Linked DNA regions of Caenorhabditis elegans. The protein of the gene in region 2 interacts with the protein of the main gene of each other region in a pairwise test. Each region holds a gene or a part of one and is shown on either strand. Other genes may lie near its edges. The genes, in order: lbp-6, scrm-1, daf-4 and vet-6.

Region 1 (3,449 bases), 5.0 Mb from region 2:
ACTCTGTTTCCACGTTTTTTATCAATTCATTCAAATACTAATCAATGCGAAAAAGCGTCAAAAAATCAAAAATCGCATTTGTTTCAGGAAGAAGGCAACTCTTGGGTAACAACTGAACCGTATGCAAACGATGGAGCAACTATTTCGGCGAGTTCATCAGTTGTATTCACTGATGAACAAATGTTAATTGGAAGTTCATTTGGAAGACTTCTTCATTGTGATCTTACGCATTCATATATTACATAGTCAAACTTTTAGAGCTTATTTAAAAAATAAACCGATGAATATGATCTAGAAACAGATGTGTTGTAGACATTGTATCTAGATTTATTTATAAACTTGTCGAGGCGTAACGGGGGCGCCACGCCTCCACCCCTTTTCAATAGCCTTCCAGCGTTTTAGAGGAAAGTCGATTTATGAGAATTTAGCAGCTTTCAAATTAACTAATTTCTCGTCACAATTAGTCATTCTTAGTGTCTTGATTCGAAGTCTGATAATATATTTCTCATTTATTGCCATAAAGAAATAATTGTAATACTTTAAATTTCAATATTTACTATTAAATATCACAGGAAGACAAGAACAAAGCTCATGTTGGGAATTGAGAATCTATTCGCGAACGTACTCGCGGCGAGAAACAACGGATCCAGATTCAAGAGTAGTGATAAGCTTGTCTCCTTCGAGCCAACGGGTGATAATTGATTCCTTATCAGAGTCCTTGATCTTCTTTTGAATGTGAATGAATTTTCCGTTCTCGAAGTTGACAACTGACTTGACGGTACGGCCATCTGGAGTGGTCTCATCGAATTCCTGGGATAAAAACATTAAATATAAGTCTGAAGAATGCTAGTTCAATTTCAGGGTTGAAACAATTTTTATTGGATACAATTACTTGGAATTTGGGGATAACTTGCTCAAACCAAAAGCTCAAATGGATAGGATAAAATGTTGGCAGGAATTTGCTCACAGCAAATTGTGGGCAGAAAGTCGCTAAACTTTGTCCACAATTGCCGATATCAACGAACGTGCATTTTGAAATCAGATATTGTTTCTCATGGCTTTAAAAAAATATTATTCGTGCATGAAAAAACACGAAAACTATGGGAAATACATATTGTTTATCAAAGTCTTATAACAAGAAATCAATGATCATTTTATGATTTATGGTTTGAAATGTTATCACCTGGAATTTTAAGACTTTTTGTCTGTGAATATGGAAGTAACAATTTTTATTCATAAATTTGTAGTGCGTTTCTTTATTTTTATGTAACTTTTTTGTCGCAAATTTGGAATCAGAAAACCCACATTTTTTTTGATAACATTATTTTTGTCTTTTGTAAGTAAAAAACTTTGCACTTTCTTACCTGTCCCAACTTGAAAGAAAGAGTGGTGTTCTTGAATGTGGAGTATTGGTTGGAATACCACAAATCTCCTTCGACCTTGATTTCCAAAGTTGGCTTCAAGTTGGCAGCAGCCTTACGAGTGATCAATCCAACTCCAACCTCCTTCATGTACTCCTCGAAGTTCTCTGAGTGAATGAGCTTCCAGCGTCCAACGAATTCTTGAGACATGGTGATGGTTCTGTAAATAGAAGAAGTTGGAAAAGCAGGTAAAAAGTTCAATAGATTAACGGATATGTAATAGGTCTGAATAAAACGTTAGTCTGAAATTATGGTTAAAAAATCTTATTTTAAAAATTAATTTTAGAAGATGAACTATCATATCACTTGCAAATGGAAATAAAAGAAAAGTTGCAAATCAACAAGAAAACGAATGGCAATGCCTTGGGAAATCATTCGTATTTAGGTGGTCTGATAAATGGAATGATAGGGGGCAAGAGTGGGCGGAGATTCAAAACGTTTTCTCTATTTCTGTCTCCTCTATTTTTCGTTTCGTTTTTTTTTGAAGAATGATTCATTTTTTGATTCGTTGCATCATTTTTGAAAAATAAAAATAGAAAAGAGGAAAAGTGAGGAATTTTCAGTCGAATAAAAACAAAAATATTATCAAAAAAATTCTGAAATTTCTGAGGAGGAAAATATCGTTTTTGATTAAAGTATATCTAAGTTTTAATTTTTTTTAAATTTATTTTTTTTTGAGGTAAAAAACTAGTATCTTGTACATATATAGAAGCCCATTTTCAAATTGTGAAACTTAAACAATCTTCTTTTTTTTAAAATAAAGTAAAAATGCATTTTAAACAAAAAAATTTATTGGCAATGTTGTTTCAAAATTAACATATACATACTTTAATTCTGTAATTAAATTAAATGTTGAATCTCATCATAAATTGTGAGCACAAGAGCACCTCCAGTTGCTCGGAATACATTTGAAAGACCTCCTTTGTATAATGCAGTAATTCCTTCATTCTTCACAATCTTTCTAACACAATCCAAAGTGTTTTTATAGAGAATATCCTTTCTCCCTGATTGCATCATCATTCGACGACGTACTGTATCCCATGGATATGATAAATATCCAGAACCAACTGTTCCAACTTGAGCAATTGCCCATGTCGTAAAGAAATTGAGTTTTTGCCCGTCAGTTGAGTACAATGTTTTGGCAGTATCAAACATTCCGAAATATGCTGCACGATAAATTATAATTCCTTGTACTGAAACAAAAAATCCTCTATAAAGACCAATTGGTCCATCTGATTTCACAATTTTCACAAAACAATCCGTTAGACCTTGAAACTCTCTATCCACTCCTTTTCCAACATCGGCTCCAAGACGAGTACGCACAAAATCCAGTGGGTACACGAAGCATAGAGATGTTGCACCAGCTGCTCCACCAGAAGCGAGATTTCCAGCAAAGAATTTCCAGAATTCTTTATTCTTGTCAATTCCTTCTTGAAACATCTTCTTATAAGTGTCTTTGAATGCAAAATTCAGCGCTTGCGTTGGAAAATATCGAAGCACATTTGCAAGGTTTCCTCTCCAAAATGCTGCATATCCTTGTTCTTTTGGCACTCTAGCAAGAACATCCATAATTCCTTTATATTTTTTATCGGCAGTTACTGTTTCAGAGACATCACTGACTTGAAGTAGAAGCTTTACACGTTCAATTGGAGCAACGGCAGTTTTTGAGATTGCTGCAGCAGTGCCTCCGGAGGCGAGATCAACAAGAAACTTTCGATAATCAAATCCTTCCTTTGTGGTCATTTTGTCCTTCTGGAATGTTTTTTTTCAGAGATTATATTTCCTGAATGCTGATAATAAAACTTTCTTCAAATGCGAGTAGGAAGGAGCTCACTAGACTCTTCTCAAAATTTTGGTCATGAAAGTCTAATCAATATAAAGAATAAAATTAATTTAAAAAAAAAGAAAAATCTAAAACAAAAGTGTTTCTTTAAAAATTGTTGAAACTAATGAAAAATTTTACGGAAAATAAACAAGGCCTTTTTTAACAGAGACAGAGAAAAGAAAAGGGTTTCTGGTCCTTTAAAA
Region 2 (4,651 bases):
TTAATTGAAAAAAGCTAAAATAACCCCTGGCTATTATCAGTCCCCGCCGACTTTGATGTCAAGCTCAAGGCTGTGCTCCTTGGAGCCACGTTTTTGATTGTGAGTTTTTTTGGTTTTTAGGGCAGCCGGTAAATATTTCAAACATCTCTTTCACTTGGTACACCATGATCTCATCTAAGTATGCAAGGTACTCTAGGCCGGCGGGAACCCCTTCAATTGCTGGGAGCGCTTCCATTCAGATGGATCCTGGAGCCGCTTGTATCGGAGCTCCCGGTTGAGTTGTAATAACAGCTCGGTCTTGCAGTTCAACGTAAACCGGTGGAGCAGGGTTAAGAAGTTCTTGCTCCATTTTTTCAACCTGAAAATTTTGCAAATAGAGCTGATCCTGTAGCAAAGGGCTCGCGGAGCAAAGCGTTTTGGAGCACATTTCATAGTGAGCAAAAATACACATTTCGTGAATTTTACACTTTAAATAATCAATATATGTAGTAAACTATTTGAATTATCGATTTTTCAAAAACAATTTATTTTTGATATATAATTTTGTGAGAAAAAAGTGGGTGGGACAGACACTGAAAACTAGAAGAAATGGGCGGGGCTTGGAGACCTGAGAGTGGGCGGGGCTTAACAAGGAAATGTGGGCGGAGTCTGAAGGAAAGTGACGTCATACATATATTGGAAGAATGCGTTGGAATAATAAGAAAAACGTTTTTAAAAAAGTTGGCTTTTAACAATTACAGTCACAATTGCAATCACAACCATCGGGGCAGCAGCATGCGGAGCTTGCTGTACCTTTAAGAAGAACTGTAATAGGCTCCTGGAATTAAAAAAAGGTCAATTGACAAAAAACCGGGATTGCATACCAAATTATGCTCTAATCACCGAAAAACACAGCAAAAATGTAAAGCAAATGGTAGAGGGTTAAGCAGACGGACGGTTAGACTGAAAAAGCAAAAAAAAATTGATAATTCAAGCGAAAATCCATAATTATCCCAAAAATCAATAATTTGGACGAAAATTCATATTTTAGGGAAGACACCAATCCTTTTTCAATATTCGATAATTTTCACATAAATCAATAGTTTTTTTTAGACAAAAGTTGATAATTTAAGCAAAAATCAATAATTTCCACAACAAAAAAACTTCTGTTAGCAAAAAGCGATAATCACAAACCTCCGTTATTGCGGTTTTGGCTCTGTTGCTCAAACTCCATGAAATCCTGAAAAATTAGCAAAGTTACAGTAATTCTACAGCAACCAAACTTACAATCAAAAACGTGGCTCCTATCAGTACTCCTTTGAGTTTGACGTCCAGGTCGCCGGGGACTGAAAATTGCAAGAATTATTGATTGTATGGACGGGGGCGACTTACAGTTGACGGCGAACGTGTCGGCGTCGGTGAACGCCTCTCGGAAGCAACCTCCCCATTTTTTGGTGATCGCGCCGACAACTGTGCCGTTGTTGGCGGTTTTGATCTGAAAATTTTGAGGGTATTGAAGCAGCGGACATTTTAGGGGGATAGGATCTTCAGCCGGTAGCTCACTGGCTTCCCGACAGACCCGCAAAGTGTCGGCTGCTCGGCAACCGCTGTTTCTTGGGTTATTCGACAAAGCCGCTAGGTGTCGGCTGCACAGCACAAGTCAGCAAAGCAGGTGGTTCAAGCAGCCGACACTTTACGGGTGGCCAGTAATCCTAGTAAATTGCGGCCGACGCCTCACTGGCAAAACCTCAGATAAAGGGCCGGTGAAAATTTTGGGATTTTCAATACATTCACAGCCTCAGGTAATATTTAGCGGCCGACATTTCACAGCACCTTGCAATCAGACAAGCTAGCATGTACCTTGCAGCCGACACCTCTCAGGACCCTAGAACTTCACCTACCGGAAACTCCTTATCCTGACATCCGCAAAGCATGCAACAGCATGGACCATCAATCTGGAAGATCACATTTCCATCTCCATCCATAATATCATAATTCGACGACATGCATCCACACCGCTGACGGATGATACCCAGAACACCCATCGATGGGGTCTCGATGATACATTCCTGCTGGCAGCATCCGATGCATGCCAAGCATCCACAGCAACCACCTCCGCAACACTTGAACTCACGCTTGATGGTCAGAACTTCCTGGAAAATTTGAAATTTCAGAGCATGTGGATCAATTTTGGCTTGGTAGGCCTGAAAATTTGGGCTCAGGATTGCTCCGCGAGCTTGTTGAACCAGATGCTCCGTGAGCTTACCCTCTTAAAGTTATCCACAATATGCATGACGAATCCACGTTGCGGTCCACAGCACTGTCTCTCACAGCATCCGGACTCCTCGAACGCGTAGTAACACTGTTCTCCATTTGCATTCTTGAGCACGTACTTGTTCTTGGTCTCCCAGTCCGTCACAATCTCGATGAGCTCCTTGATTTGATGCACCATGATTGTATCCAAGTAGGTAAGATACTCCAGGCCTGTAGGCACACCTTGGATTGCTGGTGGCATTGGCATCCACACGGAGCCAGGAGCCGGCTGCACAAAGACACCTGGCTGAGTTGTGATTGCTTGTTGGTGCTGCTGCTGATGCATTTCGAATTGTTGCACTGGATTCATACCCTGTGGGTTGTAGCCCGGTTGTTGGTTTATTACTGGTTGCTGCATGGTTATTTTCTGAAAAAAAAACACTTGAAAAATGAACAAAGCACAGTAGATTTAGAAAAAATTTCAAGATAAAAATCAGCAGGAGGAAAGTTCTGGGGCACCTAGACTTTTTGTAGAATCAAATAGTAAAGTTTTTATGGGCTCGCGGAGCAACAGGAACTGATACAATTCAGCGCTACAATCTGGTAAGCATAGTGATTCACGTGACGTGAAAAAAAAGATGCTCCGTGAGCTTGCACAAAAATGTTTTCGAATTTGATCTAAATTTACAAAACTTCAGCTTTAAAGCTTTCAGCTCGCGGAGCACCAATTGAGCTCAGTCTTAAACATTCTTAAAATTAGAAAATATGGCTCTCAAGCTCCTGAAAGCTGAAATCAAATTTCATAATAAAAAGCTTTACATATCAAAAGTTCAATGACGCCATACAACTCAATGATTAGAGGGGAATAAGGAGAAGCAATTTGTGCACGGCACAGACAATTTTAAATCTGATTAAAACAACCTCTATTTCTGGCTCTCAGAGCACCAAATTCAGATGTGGGCTCAATCTTGCTAGATTCAGCTAGCTGAAAGCTTTAGTTTGACACCCATAATGCCTATGCTACCTCAAACTTAATGTAGGGCTCTGTTGCTCCGTGAGCACAGAACACTCCAAATCGTAATTAATCCTGCTGCTCAATTCACTAAAAATTTGAAAACTTGGCATCCATATTGTATAGATTACTTTAGTTTGAAAATTTCCGCTTTCATGCTTCCGTGGAGCACCAAAATGCTTCGCGAGCTCAACGTGAAAAATATTGAAACCTAGGCAATATGGGGCTTGAATTGACGCTCTAAGGGAGCTGAACTTATAATAAAAATTTTATGATAAAAATTAACAATGGCGTTATTTTTTTAAACAAAAAATTGCGGAGCACCAAAATGCTCCGTGAGCTCAATATGGAAAACACTGAAACCTAGGCAATATGGGGCTTAAATCAAAGCTCTTAAAAAGCTGAACTCAAATTCGTATTAAAAAAAAAATTTAGTGATTGTGAATAAAATAGAAAATAATGTGGGTAATTTCAGACAACGTTTTTGGAATTATGTATACCCTTAGGGTTTTAGTTAAAATATACCCATTTTGTCTGAAATTACCCACATTATTTTCTATTTTATTCACAATCACTAAATTTTTTTTTAATACGAATTTGAGTTCAGCTTTTTAAGAGCTTTGATTTAAGCCCCATATTGCCTAGGTTTCAGTGTTTTCCATATTGAGCTCACGGAGCATTTTGGTGCTTCGCAATTTTTTGTTTAAAAAAATAACGTTTTTGGAATTATGTATACCCTTAGGGTTTTAGTTAAAATATACCCATTTTATCATATTATCAGAGGTTCCACTAAAAAGTAGATACTAAGAATGGTTTTTCAATGAAAAAATGGGCGAAACATTTTCACCAGTTTTCCAAAAAATCATAAGTCAGCCAGCTAACTACACAAACAAAAGGGTTGCGTGGCCGGAATACGGAAAAGATCAAAAAATTAGGAGAGACGCAGAGAAATCAAAGATTTTCAGCTGTCTACTTGCGATAGCTACCATGGTAACCATTTAATACATATGATTAAGGCCAAACAACACTTTTTTTCGCTTTTTTTGTTGAATTAAAAAACGTGTTTGAATCATAGAGAAAGTAGGGGAGAGAAATGGAAAAACGTGAAAAATGAAAGAGAAAAAAAAACCAATGAAATTTGAACAGAAAACAGTGGTGATTCAGCAAATATACAAAATACAAAACTACTTTTTTTTGAGTGACGTCACTTTTTATTGCGAAAGTTGCTCGGAAAGCTCAGAAATAATATCATAGAAGTTTTTGAGAACTTGAAAAAATTCGAAAATTAGAAAATTAAATTGAAAAAAAAAAATTTTTCATAAAATTTTTAAAATTTTCTAATGGAAAATAATATATTTTTCAAAGGGTTTCTTAATTTTTTTTTGGAAATTTTTAGAGTTTTTTCCG
Region 3 (7,669 bases), on a different chromosome or scaffold from region 2:
TATTCGATTCACTGTACACTCACCATTTTCAAGGATCACAGGAATCGGCGGAGGTGGTGGACACGAATCAAAAAACGGATTCGGACTAGGATGTTGTCTCTTGCTGGGTGACGACGCATGATAATGTTGCATTTCTTCGATACCCTCCGGCTTCTCACTTTGTTCAACATCATCAACACCCCGATTCTTCATACTACTTCCACTGTGATACCCCTCCGAACTGTCCGGTGAGCTCATAATATGATTCCATACCCTCGCGAACGCACATCCAGCTGTAATCCGTGCACACGCTTCGGGATCCCACATCTCTTCCGTAACCTTTTTTAGCAGACTCATATATTCATGTTTAATAATCTCATCTCTCCATTGTGGTCGTTCCTTCTTGCTCACCACATAATTTCTCATGAGACCAATTGTGGGATCAAATCCGATGACTTGAAACGGCATTTGGTAGTTTGGTGGCTCGTCGGTTTGGTGCAACTTGGTACGGGATATGACTTCCCACATGACGAGTCCCATCGAATAAACGTCCATCGCTTTGAAAGCAGTTGGCGTGAATTCGGTTGCTCCTTCGAGCATCTCTGGTGACATGTAGCGTTTCGTTCCCACTTGACCCAGCAAATCGCTTTGCTCAATGTCATAGCTGTAGATTCGGGCGAGGCCAAAGTCCGCGATGCATGTGGTCATGTCGCTTTTCACAAGAATGTTCTTCGACTTGATATCTCTGCAAAAAATTGGTTATTGAATTGAATAAGTACAGACATTAGAAACAGTTTGGAGCATACACTAACCAGCGTCGTGCGTCGTTGAAACTCGCTACCTGCTCTTAAAAGGTAACGTAGTGTTACTGGGAGCATTGGTTAGAATCTCTCCGATAGTAAACCGAATATCATAATAACACTTTGTACACAATTTTCCCGCGAAATTTATATTCTGATTATGTTCTAATTAACTCTAGATACTTTAGGTGTTCCAATGTACAAAATTGTTTGAATTTTTATTTTTTTTCTAAACCCTAACTTTTCGAAACTTCAACTGAAAATTGTCATGCGCCTAAAAATTGGTTTTTTTTTTTCAATATTTTACCCTATCATTTTGGACTCTATCGTGTGTATTTCAAAAAATATTTACTGGAAATTGCAGCCGACAACTTGTAGGTCCACGCTACTATTAATTGATCCTGAAAATGTCGGCTGCTCAAGCGCAACTTAGCAACTTCTTCCGATTTTTTCTAGGACCAACCTAGAGTAAAGTTCTGAGCATTAAAACTAGTTGGAGGGCGATCACAAGTCAGATCCATTAAAAATTTTCTAATTATTTTCATTTTCCACTAACCTGTGAATAATTGGCTTCTTTGGGTGTCCAAAGAAGTACGGCCTGTCGTCATGCAAGAATTGAAGCCCATCGATCATTGACATAATAATTCGATTGGCAGATGTAATACTAATTACATTATTCTTGAGTAACTCATAGAGACTAAGTCGCTCATGAAATTCGGTCACAATCCAATACTCATCACCAATTTTCTCGGCGCACACAAATTCGACGATACTTTTATACCACTTCGGGTACTCGTTAAGCTCATCAAAGATTCTTTTCTCCGCCAAAAAGCTCGCTTTTTGGAATTCGTTCAATTTCTTCACCGCAACCAATCGTTTCTCACCACTGTCTGGGGTGTATTGCGCCTTGAAAACTTTTCCAAAACGTCCCTTTGAGATTAACTGCAATAAACGAACAAATGTCATTGAGTGTAAGTGTGACGTCAATCAGCTCATGAAAAGAGCCTTCTGTTGTTTTCAACATTTTTTCTCAAAGATAAAGAAAAAGTAAGGAAAAGCTCAGAGTTCACAAAGTAGTGGACATCAAAAGTTTACACCGTGAGGTCGAACTTCCGAGCAAAATATCAAAAAGACGAACTATTATGAAGACGCGAAATATGTGAATTTTGAAATCAAAGTGCAAATGCGCTCCAATGCCAAATGAAAACGTTCCCCGACACTGTTAAAAAACCATAAATTCAAATGTTTTCAGAATTGTTCGTTGTTTTTAAGTTATGTTAACAATTGTTTTTGATAATTTTTAAAAAATTCATGTAAAGCTGAAAAGTTTCACCAATATGGTTTTTTTTTCAAAATTCAAATGTTGTATTCTAGATTTAGAGAGCATGTTTCAATATAAAATATCAAGCACGACTCTTGCGGTACCTACATACCTGAAAATCAGTGATCGGCAGCTCCTTTGGTGTCTCCACCATTTCAATCATTTCCTCTTCCGGCTCCACGAGAGGCACATTTCCAGCTTCCAGTGCGTCAGTTTTTTCCTGAAAATTTCGAAAATTGATTCGATTTCAAAAAAGACAAAACTCGCCATGTCAAATTTAATTTTCTGCTGCTTTTTTATCTCCTCCTTCTTATTCTGCTGAAATTTCCAACCAACGTATGCCAAGATCAAGAGTGCAATACAAAGGATCACTGACAGTGCGATTATGATGATCCAGTAGAATGGGAACTTGTCTGCAAATTCGCTCCATTGAGAAACTGACAAGAGTGGGGGATGTGTGGTAGAGGGTGTTTAGCACCTAGTTAGTACCCAGCTAGCCCCGAGACGTAGATGCAGACAGTACCTAGAGATTCCAAATCCATGTTGGATGGAGTTGAAGCCCACAGAAGTGCAGAATTATCCGAATCTGAAATTTTATCGGCTCTAAATAGGTGATTTCAAAATGTGTACATGTTTTTATTTGTATGTGTGTGTGTGTGTACAGGCATCTTCCACGGGTGCAAATTATTACGAAAAAGCGTTTGTTTCACTTTGCAACGACACTCCGCTCACTGGAGGGGAGGAGCCAAATAACAGCAGAGTGTCGTTGCGAATCGCCTCTAGAAACAGAAAGAACAAAAGAAAGTTGAAATAAAAAAGTGGTTTACTTGCAAAGCCACAAGAACAAACATAAAATTGCATGAATGGTGTGTGTGTGTATGTGTGAGGGGTAAGAGAAAATTAGGAGACAATCTGGAGAGGTCCACGTGCATTTTTTTCGGAGAAAATTAGGAAAGGGAAGAGAAATTGGGAACAAGGTTTATGACAACTGCAGGCTTTTACAGAGGTGGATTCTTTCAGGTTGAGGGTACACGGGGAAAGGTTGGGAGGAGTATAGCTAAAGTAATGGGAAGTTCTCCATATTTTTCTTAATTTCCGATTGACTTCCACCGGAAATTTGTTCAGCTTTGGCGCAAAATATTGTCTCAGGGCTAGCTGAACTATCTTTCAATGTTTGCCAAGCTCTCTCGAGCTTTCTTCTCAACCTCTGCTCGGTTATCCTTCTCTCTCATTGTCTCAACTTCAAATTTTATCATAAACGCGTCATAAGGTTGTCGCAGTTTGGACGAACGTTTGCTGAGATCCGTAGAGACCATTCAAAATTTTCTAATGGGGTTATTCAAGTAATGTAGCAAAATGCATTTAAATACATTTGTGACGTCACAAATGTATTTAAATACATGTTTTTATCTACTTGAATAAGGTTGTGACGTAATTTTTCTACACTTTTTAATTTTCCGACACTACTTGAATAACCCCATAACCTCTCTCCAACTTTTTTTTTCAACGCTCATAAATTAGTTGAAGATTCGTCGCAGCTTCCGTCTTCCATCTGGCCCGCTCCTCAACTCCTACTCTCGTCTTTCACTTGTCGAAAGCTTGACTCAGATTGATCACACTTCGCGTCACTTTCCCTATTACTGTGGCCGAGCTCAAACCAAACATCGCCAAACTCTCTCGAACTTTCGCCTGAACGCTTCTACATTAGGACATATTGCAATTTGGTGCTTCTCATTTGCTCGCAACGTTTGCCAACTTCCGTCCACTATCTCCCTACACTCGTCGTTAGTTTGCCACATTTTTGTCTAACTTCCTGGGAATTTTCTCGAATGTGCTCCAACTCTGTCGTATTTTAGTTGATGGGAGGCAACCTCCGTATGATGAACCGTATTTCGAAAAAATAACTAGGCACAGACACGCGTGGTTGTTCAACTTTCGTGAAAATTCTGCTAACTTAAAGCTAAATGTTTCACAGAAAACCTCTCATTTCAATGCCAACAATTTCTCCCTAGCCTCTAGCCCCAACGCTCACCCGAAAGAAGGTTATTTAAACAGAAAGTGGGACAGAAAGAAGGTAAAAAAGGTAAAAAGAAGGAGGTGATATATATGTATATTCACAAAAACAGAATCATTGCGTGTTGCTCTAGTATACTAAGAATGGGGTTAAACATGGGATATAGTGCTCTCTTAATATAATGTGCTCACTGACCCTTCTTCAATGACGGGTTGACCATCTCGATGAGATCCGGCATGTTGCAATTGTTGGTCGAACAGCAGCACATTCCAATTCCGCCGCGAAATGATCGTCCTTGGCGACACTGAAATTCCAGTTTTATGAGGTGCTCCGAATGCTGAAATATAACTTACGGAGCTTTCGTTCTCGCAGTTCATCGAGTCCGCGTGCTGATACGGCATACATCCCAGACTTTTGTATTGCGGTTTATCAACTTTCAGGTATGGTTCTGTAGAGTTTATCTGGAAATTTTAAGATTTTTGATGTTTATAATATGGATGCATATATCTATTATTATCCCCTTTACTCAATTAATCATCTTTTGAAACATGGGCAGCTAAATCCGGATTAGTTGGTTTGCACATTTTTAATGGATTCGATCAAAATTGGATTGATAAACTCAACAACTTTTAAGTTTGGTTTGAAGAGCTTTGTAGCAAAGGAATAATAAAGCCTTGATCATTAACTTTTTCCGCAGTATTTTTTTCAATTTGAATCAAGTTCCACGTTTAAATCCTATGTCGCTCAGTAAATTTTCAAAGTCGTCTTCAAAAAGGCCAAAACCTTGCTCATATGTATTTGTTTTCGATAAAACTAATGCAATTCTGATTTTAATTTTGATATTCAAATTCCATCCTACAAAACTATCAAAAATCACGAGTCATGTCACCCCAATTTGTTCCAGCTGACAAAGTCATAAGCCAGAATGGAAAAAAAAATGCAAAAGATACAAATACTTCCGCGGATGAAGAGGAAGAAGATGTCACTCATGAATAACAAATGAAACAATATATATAAAGGGCCCCCGTCATGTGACACAGTTCGGTCTGGGGGTGGCCGCCAAAAACCTCTTCCACACTAACCTCTTGCGTGGGCAGCCCAAATACGGCCAAGCATCCGACGGCTTTCAGATGAGCTTCACTGTAACACGTCTTCTTTGTGATTTCACAATCGCCACTCTTTTCGCATTCCATCTCGTCGTAGTACTGCAAAATTTTAAAGTTTAACGTTTTTACTACTGCTTTAATTTTGGGGAAGAGAGCCTATAATTATGGAATAGTGATAACACTTGAAAAACAAAAGGAGTTGTAGTTATTGTAGCTTGCGGGTTTGAACTTATCCCTTTTAGAATATCTTGGTACTTTAAAGTAACTATAGTTAATTGAAACAAGGATCAGTGGAATGTGGGTGGATTGGCTCTGCGACCTCTACAAGGGGAACAGGGCTCACTGGAATTAAAGTGTATTTGATCCAGTAATTTTTAAACAAACGGGAGAGTCACTGATTTCTGATCCCCAAAACGTCAACACTATCTAATGAGCCTAAATTCCATCAAATTGATCCAAAAACTTACTACACATTCAATCGAAATCACTTCATCCTCCTCATTGTCCATTCTCCTTAACGTGGGCTTCGCTGGTGCCGAGACCTTAATAGTGCCAGTTCCATTTGACTGTGCTACTTTGCTGACTAGGGTGTTAGCCCACTGAAAGATGGTTAAACCAAGGAGATAGAATAAAATAAAGAAGTTTACGACAAAAACACATTTTCTCAAAAAATGCTCACCTCTTTCTCGGCGGCTTCCGATTCGATTCGGTCCTGACGATCGTCTTCCGTGACTGCAACAGGAACCGGTGTGGCAATTAAAAAGAGTGGAAGGCAAATGAGCACAAGTGCCTTGAGACGTACTGTCCCTTTCTGATTCATCTGAAAATTGAAGGTAGTTGAATTATTGTAACGTTTTTTTTAAAGTTGAGGAGTAAAATAAATAAATAATTAAGATCAAATGTTTTATTGAGAAAAATAGATGCAAACTTATTTAAATAAAAAAAATAGGTCAACAAATTCAACTTGAGAAAAAATAAATAAAATTTCAAAAATTCGAAAATTCGAAAATTTCGATAAAATTAAATAAAATTGCCAGCTTTGCTAAAATTTCCAGCTAAAATTTTAAAAATTTAGTTTTGATGAAAATTAAATTTCTTAATTTCAAATAAAAGCAATCGAAATTTCGGATAAAAAAATTTCGAATTTCGACATTCGAAATTTCCAATTTTTTTAACAAAAAACTTTTCATTTTTTTAAAATAAAATGTTTGAATTTTACTTCGATGCACCATGAGAGTTCAAAACTTTCAACTAAAAAATGTCAACCAAATTTTTCAAAAATTCCGTAAAAATAGGAATAAATTGCACAATCTCCATCAAACGAAAGATGTGAAAAGTGTTAAGGAAGCACAAAAAGTTTGCAAAAAAAATGAAGTGAGAAGCACACATCAGAAATGAAGAGAGAAAAGAGAAAAAGAACGAGGAAACAGCAAAGATTGGTACACTCTTATCACTTTTACAAACTCTACTCTCTACTTTTTGTTTCAAATAAAAAAAGGTTTTCATTCAATGTTCTCTAATAAACAACAACAAAAAATCAAATGACGTGACAATCTGACCTACAAGAACCTTACAAGAGGGGCTCGCTGTCCTCTTGTGCTCTTTTTCTCATCGGAGGGGGCTAAAGTTGGGCGGGGCCCAAACAGAATGAAGGCGGGATCTTCCGGGGTCTATAGAACGGGAACTTTGAGAAAAATATAGTATCGATGAACACCTGCACCTTATAGGAAATGGGCGAAGTTCGGACTAACTGGACTTTCCATATTTCGGTTCCCAAAATACACTAGCAATTCGAGGAAAAATTAAATAATGTGCTATACACATGTAATGTAACCAAAAAAAGTTTCTCAGGATTATATTTCGTGCGTGGTACCAGGAAAACGTATGTTTTTTTCAGCAGAACGGAATTGGAGTAGGCGTGGGCTCGGCTAAAAGTCTAAAATGAGATTTAGGCTTGGGCTTAGGCTTAGGTGTTCGTCCAAGTTTGGGCTAGATGTCGGGCGCTAAGTTTCAATAAGTTTTCTGTAAAACGTACGAAAATAGAAAGTACCACTCAACGTCATCCTTTCCTTCTTCTTATTCAAAAACATGTCACCATTCGTTATTTCAGGTGAATTTATACTTTTCCTCCTGCCTCAAGCCTCCCCGTCACATTGAATCAAGCGACTTAAGTGGGAGAAGAGAATGTCAAAACGAATATTTTTTGAACATTTTTCATATATTTTTTGTGTTTACCTTGACAACAACAAAGCACTCGCTTTTTTCTGGGTATTATTCACTCGTTCTATTTTTGCAGCAAAAGCCGAAAAAGAAAAGGGGGAAAAAGAGCGTGAAACTCGGCGAAATTCACATGTGACCACGGTGGGTTTGTTGTTGTTGCAGAAGAAGGAGGAGAGGGTAGCAGCAGGCGTGTAAGACCAAAGCTCTCTTATGTTAGATGAAGAAGAAG
Region 4 (5,000 bases), 1.6 Mb from region 2:
TCGTCTGTCGACAGACGACAATTTTTCCAATTTAAAAAAATCATATCTAGCTTTAAACTAACATTTTCAAAAATCCCTGTCATTTTGTTGCAAATTTTGTGGTCTTTCAGAATTTGGAAACCAAATTTGAAAAAGTTTCATATTCACTGAGTTCAAGCAGAAAAAGTGGAATGTCAGTCATACCGTTTAGTGGACAAATTCAAATTGAGACGTGTATCAATGTTTGAGACACACCTGAAACATGTTTTAGTCTAGGGTAGGGCTGTCTACGGTAGACGTCGCGCCTAGGCTCTATTTCCCTCCGACACCCTCTTCCCAACTTGACCTCCCGGAGACTATAGCTCGTCCAATTGGTCATTTTACTTTTTCGTCCACTCATTATTTCATTTTTTCTCTTCCCCTACTTACCTAGGTCTGGCTCGAAAGTATTTTAAGAATCTCAGTGGCCCTATTCGGGGAACCTAAGCCATTGCTTCTAATAAAATTTGCTTCTTATAAATTGCTTCTAATAAAATTGCATTCTAATAAAAAAACATAATTTATTGAAATTAATTATCAAAAAAGGACAGGTCAGAACAATGAAAATCAAATGGAAATATTGCAAAAATGAATATATTTTCAGATGCCGGTAGTTCCAGCCGAATTATTACATCTCATCGCATACAACGTGTAGACTTTGGCGCTGGGAAGTTCCATATAACCATTGTGAAGCCCGTTGAGTTGCTCCTTCTTAATTCTTCCATTAACATCCTTCATAAAAATTGTGAATGGGTGATTTGGAGCAGAAACGGTGAAAAGCACTGTTGAGCTATGGGCCTTCGATGAATCGTAGACGATTTCCGGACATGTAACTTGATAGAAACATTTTCCTGTCACGCAATACATATACTTCTCAATCTCCTTTGTGAAATCGTTGAAGACATGAATTACATAGGTTTTGATAGAATCAGCGTACTCTGCGTATAATGGACACAAGTGCCATTCCTCAACATTTAATGGGCATCCCGAACAGTTGAGTTGCTCGAATTGCTGTGTAGATGGGTTGAATGCGTACTTGAGATAATGTCCCAATCGACTGGAGAAGATATAGAGAGCACTCTGACTGTATGTTGGACACCAGCGGATTGTGGATAATGGAAGAGTACTGGATGGTTCTTGAACCATCTCCACACCCTCCAGCTCCTTCATCAAAAGAGTTCTCACTTCAACACTCGGAATCTTCACATACTTTCCATATCTGAACTCCAGCTTCTTCACACCAAATCGTGACTTTTGGATGATCACTTGATCATCTCCATCTCCATTGACTGCTGCTACAAAATCAGTGTTTTTCGGTCCTTGAGCTGGTTGCACCTCCGGATAGTTCACTTGCTCGAATCCCCCAGTCTTGAAGCTGAACATGTACTGCTCATCTTTTTGCTTTGTCACCATATTGTCCATGAAAATCACGAAATTGGAGATTTTCTCGTTCCAAACTGCACACGTGGGGAATAAGTGGTTTTCTTGAACTCTTGGAACACAGGCAAGACACTTGTGCTGCTCGAATTTCTCCTCTTGATGATTGTAGGTGTATACGTGAGAAGGTCTCTTCCAGCAATAGACACTGTAAGTTGTGACATTTCTTGATGTGCAATGACGGATCCTGATTGGAGAAGAGTGTTGTCTGTTGGTGCACATCCGAGGATTACATTCTGAAAATAATAATATGATTAAAAGATTTGTGGTACTTAATTAGTTACCTTGTCTCGCACCATATCCTGGGGCTTCGGACCAGACAACTGGAGCAGAGGTGGGTGCTGATTCCTGGGTAGTTTCTGGAGTTACTTCTGTTGGCTCTGACTGTGATGTAGATTCTACATTTGTGGTCGAAATGTTTTCTTCAGTAATCTCTGAGGCTTCAACGAACGCATTATTGAGCAATGAGTTCACTTCTTGACTTTCAGAATCAAAACAAGAAGCAAGTGTCTGAGAAGTCTGAAGTTCATAAAGCCTCAAAGCTTGACGATGAAACTCGACCATCTGTTTTTCGGAATCTACACCAGGGTGGTGTACTAGATCCGGATATGATGTGATGTCTGCAAAAAGATTTTATAATTAATTATAGTTTCGTATATTAATAAATATATTAAATTACCTTGGTTTATATCGGAACTTTCAGAGTTGAACCAAGAAACTGGGGCCGAGGTGAGCGGTGATGTCTGGGTAGTTTCAGGATCTAGTTGAGTTGCTGGATCTACATTTGAGGTAGAAATGCTTTCTGGAGCAATCTGTGAGGCTTCAGTGGTTTGAGTCGGTGTCTTCTTGGTACGAATGCCGGACAGATTCACTATTTCATTGAACAACGGGATTAATTCGCTGGATGCCGGCTTTAGCAGATCCAAAAGTTGATCTTCTGATTCCTTTAAACGACAGATCTCTGCATACTTTGAAGCACGCTCTTTGACATCTTTATCAGACTCCATCGGATATTCATTAAGATCCTTGCAAAGCTCATTGGTTGTTTTCCGATAAGCCTCTTCTACCGCTTCTAAGTGTTTCCTGCTTGCATTAACCGCTTCACAGTATTTTAGAAAACCAGTAGAAGCATGCAAATTCAGTACTGTCATGAAGTCTTTTCGAGCGTTTGACAGCTCGCGGCGCTTGGGAAAATATTCTGCGAAGAGCTGTATGGTAGCAGCTGTCAATCCAGTTGAGCGATCTTTTAATACCGCTGAATCACCAATCTTTGCATACTTCGAAGCTTGACGTTGAAGCTCTACCATCCGCTTTTCGAAATCTTCATCAGCGGTCGATTTCTTTGGTTCGGCAACATATTCATTTCGAACCAAGGGTGGTGGAAGTGTAGAGTTGTATCGTTGAGTTGGGATAAAAACTCCGTCTCTGATGGCTTCTTCTCGGAATTCGGCATCCAGAACAGCTTTTTTGGCGGCTAAATCTTGATCATTGGTTGAAGATGGATTGCTTTCTGAAATTAAAGGATTAGAAAATCTATAATCTTCAAAGAGTAATGAAAACTGACCTCGATTTTTAATAGAACAAGATTCCGGACTCTCCCTCACTGCATCCGCGAATGAACGGCGAACCATATGAAATTCTTCTACTTTGCTCTGATGAGCTTTTTGTGCCGCTTGAACATTCTTCCAGCATGTGTTAACAACTTCAAGGTGATTTTGAGAGCCAGTAGACTTGTGCATGTTTCTTGCAGCCACATAGTCTTTTTGTGCCTTTTCCAGATCTTTGACCATTTCAGAACGTTCGCGATTGAGTTGTGAGAGAGCAGATTTCAATTCAAGTGCAGAGTTGGAACTCATCGTTGGAGTTTACTTTCTGGAAATTGAAGATAATTAGAATCTTCTAGACAAGACAATACGACAAAACAGGTAACAGAAAAATAAGGAAAATAATTGAAAAAAGGAAAGAAAAAACCAGCTCACCAACCAGGAAGGGCAGTTGAAGATTGAATGACTGGAAGACTGAGTGGTAAGGTGCCTGAAATCTGTCAGACTCCATTTGCGCGTTTTGGGTTATCGATTACCCATAAAGTGATTTATCTGGACAAAGGAGGAGCCTGCCATTGTCTGAAAAGGAGACGATGGCAACCCTCTTATAGTGGAGTCCCAGGAGACCGAATATCTAGAAAAACACTGAGCATCTGTCAAATGACACTAATATTCTCCCACTCTTGCAATAAATTGGGACGTACAGTCAAGTCTGTTTTGCTGAATTACAGTGCCTTTTCTTTTAATGTTTCATCTTACTTTGCCAAGCAATTTCAAACTAGGGTATACAGTGCGTCCAACTTCTATAGCACCCCCCTCCAATTTGGCGGTTTGGAGCTTCTCAAAATATTTTTTGAAAAAGTGCTAGTGCAGTTCGATAGCAAATGTTGAAAAACCTATGCTCCCCAATTTTCATTATGATATCTCAAAAATCACAGGAATTAGGTCAAAATATCGGAAAAATGGCCGTCCAACTTCTATAGCACCCCCTCTGATTTTTGGCAATTTTCGGTAAAATCGGGGTTTTCTTCTTAATTAATAAATTTATTTTGTGAATAACTTTACAACAAAATGTTCAGACGGTTTCATTTTCACATTTAAAAAATAAATATAACCCCTGAAAACACGTGGAACGCCTAGGATTGTCCTGGAACGTTCGTATTTGCTTCAGAGGCCATTTCTCGGCTCCCAATGATTTTCGCAGCACCAAACTTGACCAAAATGATCTTCCCCACCTATTTATTACTATTCAAATAATTGTTGAAAACATTTATTCATATGAACCAAATGGTAAAGGGAGCAACTGCAGTGATTTTCAAAAGGCTTGATTTAACTATGAAAACTAGCGTTTGGAGGCGCAGAGCTGAAGGTTGGTAATACATTTTCGACTAAGAATTACTAAATTATAGCAAAAAAAAAAAATTATATTATGTGAACATCAAATCTGTGGAAATCCATGGATACATCAAATGCTAGACATCTACATTCACCGATTCAGGTTTTGTCTGTTAGCTTTTAGGTTCTTTGACCATAGAAATATTCAATGAGCAAATTCGCTAAATTTCAGTTGAGTTATAAATACAGCTAGAAAAATCGCCATTCAGAAAGTTATATCTTACTTTCGTCTTTAAAATTTTCGCGTGTTAGCTTGAGAAAAATACTTGCGGCCTCGCTTTGCCTTTGTCCTCTTTTGAGCGGTCTCATGAACTTTTCCGAATAAATTTTCGAAGACTTCTAATCAAAATCAAAGCTTCAAGGATATTTGAACCGGATGAGCTAAAATTCTGTACAATAGGAAGTCAAAACCATCAGCTCTGCGCCTCCAAACGCTAGTTTTCATAGTTAAATCAAGCCTTTTGAAAATCACTGCAGTTGCTCCCTTTACCATTTGGTTCATATGAATAAATGTTTTCAACAATTATTTGAATAGTAATAAATAGGTGGGGAAGATCATTTTGGTCAAGTTTGGTGCTGCGAAAATCATTGGGAGCCGAGAAATGG

What was found.
Region 1: the proteins of scrm-1 (region 2) and lbp-6 interact in a two-hybrid assay, tested with the Caenorhabditis elegans proteins (one study listed by BioGRID).
Region 3: the proteins of scrm-1 (region 2) and daf-4 interact in a two-hybrid assay, tested with the Caenorhabditis elegans proteins (one study listed by BioGRID).
Region 4: the proteins of scrm-1 (region 2) and vet-6 interact in a two-hybrid assay, tested with the Caenorhabditis elegans proteins (one study listed by BioGRID).

Annotation. Positions count from the first base shown.
Region 1 is NC_003279.8:6,727,796-6,731,244, forward strand, and holds lbp-6 (Fatty acid-binding protein homolog 6), read right to left. Parts: upstream 1,582-3,449; 5' UTR 1,572-1,581; coding exon 1,365-1,571; intron 811-1,364; coding exon 610-810; 3' UTR 501-609; downstream 1-500. Other genes in the region: mec-6 (Mechanosensory abnormality protein 6), read left to right, coding at 88-246; ant-1.2 (ADP/ATP translocase), read right to left, coding at 2,262-3,164.
Region 2 is NC_003279.8:11,688,172-11,692,822, forward strand, and holds scrm-1 (Phospholipid scramblase), read right to left. Parts: upstream 2,660-4,651; 5' UTR 2,651-2,659; coding exon 2,246-2,650; intron 2,133-2,245; coding exon 1,881-2,132; intron 1,475-1,880; coding exon 1,372-1,474; intron 1,326-1,371; coding exon 1,267-1,325; intron 1,220-1,266; coding exon 1,174-1,219; coding exon of another isoform or gene 1,166-1,173; exon of another isoform or gene 943-1,165; coding exon of another isoform or gene 938-942; exon of another isoform or gene 818-937; coding exon 795-817; 3' UTR 511-794; downstream 1-510.
Region 3 is NC_003281.10:5,623,513-5,631,181, reverse strand, and holds the start of daf-4 (Cell surface receptor daf-4), read right to left. Parts: upstream 6,041-7,669; coding exon 5,900-6,040; intron 5,820-5,899; coding exon 5,688-5,819; intron 5,320-5,687; coding exon 5,197-5,319; intron 4,576-5,196; coding exon 4,468-4,575; intron 4,419-4,467; coding exon 4,310-4,418; intron 4,239-4,309; exon of another isoform or gene 2,976-4,238; intron 2,687-2,975; coding exon 2,624-2,686; intron 2,514-2,623; coding exon 2,368-2,513; intron 2,321-2,367; coding exon 2,213-2,320; intron 1,722-2,212; coding exon 1,336-1,721; coding exon of another isoform or gene 1,311-1,335; exon of another isoform or gene 1,084-1,310; intron 725-1,083; coding exon 24-724; intron 1-23. UniProt on the Caenorhabditis elegans protein: Involved in a TGF-beta pathway. May be a receptor for TGF-beta-like ligand daf-7. Controls the decision of whether or not larvae enter a developmentally arrested state, known as dauer, in response to environmental conditions.
Region 4 is NC_003279.8:13,268,311-13,273,310, reverse strand, and holds vet-6 (Very Early Transcript), read right to left. Parts: upstream 3,328-5,000; 5' UTR 3,312-3,327; coding exon 3,020-3,311; intron 2,966-3,019; coding exon 2,135-2,965; intron 2,076-2,134; coding exon 1,740-2,075; intron 1,692-1,739; coding exon 619-1,691; 3' UTR 529-618; downstream 1-528.